Daphnia pulex: one gene and its partner. The protein of the gene in region 2 interacts with the protein of the main gene of each other region in a biochemical or structural test. Links are inferred from orthologs where the notes say so. Each region holds a gene or a part of one and is shown on either strand. Other genes may lie near its edges.

What was found.
Region 1: the proteins of cathepsin B-like (region 2) and cystatin-B-like form a complex in vitro, tested with the Homo sapiens proteins (2 studies listed by BioGRID). The link is inferred for Daphnia pulex from reciprocal best matches to the Homo sapiens genes CTSB and CSTB.

Annotation. Positions count from the first base shown.
Region 1 is NC_060017.1:5,653,658-5,656,453, reverse strand, and holds cystatin-B-like, read left to right. Parts: upstream 1-1,454; 5' UTR 1,455-1,702; intron 1,703-1,802; 5' UTR 1,803-1,805; coding exon 1,806-1,982; intron 1,983-2,062; coding exon 2,063-2,182; 3' UTR 2,183-2,253; downstream 2,254-2,796. Other genes in the region: uncharacterized protein LOC124190305, read right to left, coding at 2,313-2,504, 2,573-2,681, 2,741-2,796. UniProt on the Homo sapiens protein: This is an intracellular thiol proteinase inhibitor. Tightly binding reversible inhibitor of cathepsins L, H and B.
Region 2 is NC_060028.1:8,221,768-8,225,437, reverse strand, and holds cathepsin B-like, read right to left. Parts: upstream 2,675-3,670; 5' UTR 2,481-2,674; intron 2,341-2,480; 5' UTR 2,214-2,340; coding exon 2,202-2,213; intron 2,131-2,201; coding exon 1,984-2,130; intron 1,921-1,983; coding exon 1,705-1,920; intron 1,643-1,704; coding exon 1,442-1,642; intron 1,382-1,441; coding exon 1,237-1,381; intron 1,171-1,236; coding exon 1,054-1,170; intron 992-1,053; coding exon 786-991; 3' UTR 627-785; downstream 1-626. UniProt on the Homo sapiens protein: Thiol protease which is believed to participate in intracellular degradation and turnover of proteins. Cleaves matrix extracellular phosphoglycoprotein MEPE. Involved in the solubilization of cross-linked TG/thyroglobulin in the thyroid follicle lumen.

The DNA of each region.
Region 1 (2,796 bases), on a different chromosome or scaffold from region 2:
CTGCTCGCCATATTGTGATCTATAGATTCAGTTGTATATGAATATCAGATGAATATATCGTTAACATAGTTTCATGACACAATAAAATCTAAATTTTCTACAAAGCCCTGGCTAACTAAAAGTCGTTTTTCAATTATTCATTAGCAATACCTAGTGATGAATAGAAACTTTTACAAATCAAACTTGTTTCTTGAGTGCAGTTTTCTTTGTGGGACATGTGATAGGCCCACAGAATTCTCATTTAACGAAACATGTTCCATGTGTTCCTGTTCTGTTCACTTGACGGATCTGAACGTAAGGGAGAAATAGCACGACCGCAGTGGCGTCGCACAGTTGATTTCTGAAAAATAGTTTTCCTTGTTTTCTTTTATTTCTTAATTTTACATAAACTATAAAAGCACTTAAACTATGAATCGGGAAAAGTTTTAAAAACCCATAATTGTCGTCATAGCCTGGAGTAAAGAAATTTTTTTTTATGAGAACAAATCTGAAAGTTACTCATTAAAATATGTGGAAGATAATTGAGTCCGTCAGACCGTAACACAATTTTCTTTTACTGCTTCGCTAAGCTTTTCGCAAGACTTTTCGCAAATCTATTGAGGTTTTGCCAATTTCTCTGTCTCAAAAATGATATAATTCGTGTTCCGTGTTTCACGTTTCGCTTTCGCTTTCGCGTTTTTAGATTTGACGTTTCGTTTTCATATTTTAAGCTCCCTCGTGAAAATGAGATAAATGTAAAGGAGTTTACTTATACTGAGTCATTAAAGTTTAACTACTCAAGTGAAAGAGGAGAGTGAAGATTTCAAAGTAGTGGCGGTAGTGGAGTGATGTGCTCATTGTGATGTACCAATTCTCAAGATAAATTTCTCATACATACTTGATACTTCATCATGTAGGCCACATAGGTATATGTAACGTCGATTCTTTACGCTAATCAGCTACCTACAATGAAAATGAAAGTGAGCCGTGAGCCAATTTTGGGTTGAGTTGTGTTTGAATTCTGCTTTGGAAGTTTTAATAAATAGTGGAGTTAGAACTGCTTGAACTGCATTTTCCACATAATATTTACCTAAAATATAGTTTGACATCCAAGTCCGTTATTCCAATAGACCAATATTCTCGCTGTTAGAGTGATAGAAGGAGTAGAAATAAAAAATAGTAAATAATTAATCGTAGCTGTCAAAAGACAACAGCAGTCGATGCAACTTCTTCCGTCTACACAACTCCATCTTGCGTGAAAAACCAACAACGAAGAATTTACAAAAATAAAAGATTTTCCCGCATTTTTTTAATTTAATATAATTTTAGAAAAAAAAATAATAAAAAAAAAACAGTATTGGGTATTGCGTTGTAAAAAGATTAGGAGTTTCTTGAAATATTAACCTATTAATCTTATGAAGAAAAAAAGGGGGAGGCTTTGTTATGGAAACCACAAACCAGGACGTTAGTGTGACAACAACAAACAAAAGAACGGGCGTTGACTCATCAGCTGACGTGACGTCCATGCAGCAGTTTACCAACGAAATTTACCAAGTCGAATCGTTGATCAACGTCGAACACTTGTGGTGAATCATCATCTACAATTCTACAGCCTTACGTTACACACAAGTGCGCATTCTATTTCTAGTTCTAGTCTTGCTGTCTCAGTCTTCACTCTCCAGCAGATTCAGGCTACACTTTTTAACCTTACAGCTCAATATTGGTATTTTAAAATGTTCTATTTGATTTCTTTTACTGCACATAATCCATTCGACTATTAAAAAGCAAATTTTCTTAATTGTGATTTCTTCTTGCACCTCTAGAGAATGTCCAAAATGACAGGAGGAATCTCTGATAACGATGAGCCTGCTACTGCTGAAGTACAAACTTTGGTTGAACAAGTCAAAGACCAAATTACAGGAAAAATGAATGGAACTTTTGAAGTATTTGAAGCCATTACTTTTAAGTCTCAAGTAGTAGCTGGACGCAACTATTTTGTCAAGGTCAAGAACTGTTTAATATTCCTTTATTTTTCCTAAGTTTCTCATACACACTTTTAATTAAATTACCTATTGCATTGCAGATTCATGTTGGCAATGATAAATGCATCCATGCACGCATATACAAAAATCTGCAACGTGAAGTATCTGTTCATTCCATTCAAGAAGACAAGACTAGAGAAGATCCCATCACATATTTTTAACTTATATATTTCCATTCAATATTTTAATGGCACTTTTTATCATAAAAAATTAATAAACACATAAGACTTTACTTTGCTTTATGGAAATTTGAACATTTATTAGGTTAAAGTAGAAATACAATTAAGGAGATTACATGGTAATAAGGTTATCGTCTTTTGAAATTGGGAATGATGATGACAAATTTCCTTCAAATTCAGCTGTTGAAGCCTTTAAAGGGTTTGTGTTGTTATCGGTAGGTACTGTTGAACTTTTCTGGTTATTGCTTGGTTTGTTTCGTTTCTTCCTGATATGTTTGGGTCTGGATTTAACATTATTTTCTGCCTAGTTGTATTAATAAACCATGCAGAGTATTATGAAATGAGACAATATGAAGTTAATAACTGTAATACCTTTTCACTTATAAAGTCAGTAGCTTCAGCATAATTACTGGCTGCAGCAGCAGCAGCAGCAGCTGTGTGGTAATCAACTCCATGGTATTCGAGACGATCTTTCAGCTTTCTAAATGTTTGCACAGTAATCAAATATTTGAGAGGATTATGTAGTATGGGAAACTGTACTTGCACTGATTTTCAGATTTATAAATGAGTAGTTTCAAGTTGATCAGCCGAGATGA
Region 2 (3,670 bases):
TTCAGACTTAATGTTTCAGCTGAAGTTTTTGTGTGACCTAGCACCTAGGTGCTTGTGACAATAGAAATCAAGGTAATAATGCAAGCTATGTCTTTCAAAGCATAATAGTTTCTTCTGTCATTTAATTTTTAGGCTAATTATAATATTTCAGGTTAACTTCCTGTGGTAAATCTTCAAGATATTGATTATTGATGCCTTCCCCAGATCCAATTTATTATAAATTATAAAGAGTTTCAAGTACAGTAGACAATTAATCAAGTACACAGTGAGAGATAAAAAATATTGCTTTGAAGTTAGAATGATAAAAATGAGCTTACATGTTAATAATTGATTGATTTTGCGCAGAAAAGACATTCACAATTTAATTTCACACCCCTTTCGCCATTTTATTAAGAACAATAATAGTACCACCACCATCTAGCGTCACAAAGGACAATCTTATTCAAATTCCCAAAGATTTGAAATTTGAATTAGAAAAAAATTTTTGTTGTGAAACAATAACAAAGAACGGAAGAGACATGGTAAAACTGCAGTGCAACATAATTCGAGTACGCTACTTTTCATTCCAAAAGGACTTCCAATTAAGTTTCAATTGTTGGAATGCAACAATAAAGATTAGGAGGATATCATTTTAACTAAACCGATTTATTTTTGTTCAAAAACCTAAACAGTCTAGTTAATTTTCGATTGGAAAAAAGAAATAATAAAAGGAAGGAAAAATAAGGCAGACAGGTGAACAGAAAGAATGTTTAAACTGTAAACGTTTAGGTAATATTGAGAGAAAATCAGAGTTTCGGTAGACCAGCTGTGATCTGACTTTCAATGCCACAATGATCTTTCCCACGAAGAAGTTTGATATAACCATTATCACCCCAGTCGGTATTCCAGCTGTTGGCAATAAGCCAGTATGGAACACCTTCCTCGACGCCCCATCCAAGAATTCGGATGGCGTGACCGCCGAGTGCTTTTCCATGTACGTGTTGGTAAACGCCTAATTGAGAGATCAGAATAGCGATAAAAAATGATTATAAAAAAGGCCTAATTCTTTCATACCTGATTTGTAAGTAGGAAAATCTTCGTAAACGGTTAAAGCTCCTTCAACTGGACCATTGTTCATAATCTCTAACTGAATGTCTTCCATACGTTTGTGAACAGAGTAAGAAGAAGCACCTAATTTTTAGGAAACAAGCTCTGTTAGTTAATTTGAATTGAGAACGAGAATAAAACCGGACATACCATAGTGAAGATCTTGCGTATAATCGACTGTATAACCATCTTCACAAGTCTTGAGGCATTTCGGGGTACCGCCTCCCTCTGAGCAAGGTGGACGATCACCTGTTGTATGATGCTCACATGCGGGAATAATGTACGGTTGGCATCCCTATATATGGCCAGAAAAACAGTAATTATTCACACCTAAAAATTAAGTATATCGACTTACTTGACTTGAGTTGTAATTGCCTCCAGTGACAATACCCTTCTTAACCCAGTGGCTCCAAGCAGCACCAGGGAAGCCACCATTGCATCCAAAGCCACATGTGTAGCAGCAGCTGACCAAGTTTTCGGCTGAGAGATGAGCATTTACTTCTCCCTTTGAGTGAATGCAAATACGATCTGACATGGCCTCTACAGCTCCAAAGGCCTGAAACCAATATAAATAGAAAAATTAAGAGACATTAAAATCAGCAAATTAAAAAAAATTACCCAGCAAGATCCACAAGAGCCTTGATCTCTAATTTCTTGAATGGTGGGGCAATCTGGCCATTGTTCCCGAGCATCAAAAGCCTCTGGAATAGCCTGGTTACTAAACATCTGGCTGACATTCTTCAATGGAGGCATGTACAAGTTTGAATCTGGGTGTACACCCATCATTTGAGTCAGGGCTCCCATCGGGAAGTTTTTACCAAAATTACGTCCAGCCTAGGAGGATGAAACATAAGTAATTCATCAAAACACAGTGTAAGTAAACAAGGGTCATATTACCTTCCATGTTGATTTCATGGAATTTATGTGATTGATAAACTCATCTGACAAAGGATTAAAATACTTGTTTGACTTCAACTTCTTGGCCTGGCTTGTAACCAGTACAACAGCAAAGATAATAGACAAAACTGTCTTCATGGTGAAACTCTGGAAAGAAAAAGAAAATTTCACTTTAAAATCAATTTGTGATGTAATAAAACATATATATCAATTATTACAAATATAAACATATTCAGAACTTTCAGAGCTTCCAAATGACTTCGTGTGAGTCTTAGACACACTGACTATATATTTTCTTTACAACCAAGAAACGCGTGTACCAGGGGGGAGGATTCAAGACGATAACATTTTTGCAAACTAAAGAAAGTGAGGGGCGTCACTTGATTTCTAGAATTCTAGGTAATGCAAAATAACTCAACAACATCTTAACCCTCATGACACAAATAATTTGATTTAATGGAAACTAAACTGAGAAAAGAGATGACAATCCCTGTTACCTTCAATTCCACTATGGGCGTCGCAAGCTACAAACTTGACTATTGCTGACTTTCAATATTGCTTTTACACTGTCCCTTGGAAACAAAAATACGCAGTAAACTGATTAGGAAAACGTAATTTCTCCTTTTGTTCGGATTAAAACCAAGCCCTATATTGACAGACAGGCCCACTACAGTGCATTCAATTTTGTTGCCATGCGCATTTAAAAGTATTGTCCACCAGAGGCGCTCTGTAACATGTAGACGTTTGAAAGACATCGATTCGAATGAGTCATTCTGTCAATTATTTGGGGAAAAACCGGAATACATTTCTAACCAAATAAAACCGTCTAACCAAGCCTGCACACGATTGGCAAACTCCCTAACAACCAGTGAACGGGGTTTTCCATTTGAAATGTCTCAAGGTAATTTAGATGTGGTAATTGGGGTAGTTCATGGCCGAATGTACAGGTAAAACTGGTTTTAAATAGCATTTACTTAGCGAAATGCGGATTAAAAATAGACGTCCCGTAAGACCGCAAACCTCCATGAAACGAAAGATTAAGCTTTATTCTTTGTTGGCTGACTACAGGAATAAAAGTTTATACGACAGGTGCACACAAAGTGATTAACCCCGATTAACCTGTGCTCACATCACCAGAAGAACATCAAACCTTTCATACCGCTTTTGCTGTCGACATAAATCAAATAGACATGATGTCGTATAAAATGGGATTTTCCACATGTTACGTAACAGTGGTGAGAAATCGTGAATCGTGAGAACTGCACACTCATCATATCGTAAAAGGAAACTACAAAGAAGGTGTCGCTTGATGAACAACAGAAGATTTGGTTCCAAGACGTTGGAACAATGGTACCACGAATAAAAAAAAGTTGCGGATGATGGGAAGAAATGGCTCGCTTCAAATAACACCTTAGATAACCTCAAGGACAAAAAATAGCAATAAAAATTGAGATTTTTTTACGATTCCCTTTGTCTTGAAGGTAAAACAAAATTCGATTCTATACATTTTCACAGGGATTTTATTTTTCATCTCTGGTGAGATCATGTAAGCGTCGATCGGCAACTATTCCGCAATACCACCTTGAGGGGTAGAAACGAATGTAACGCGTACACAAACGCAGTGCGCCTGGCATTTCTTAATTGGATTGAAATAGCCAATGGACTAGATACTTTTGAGTGCATTACG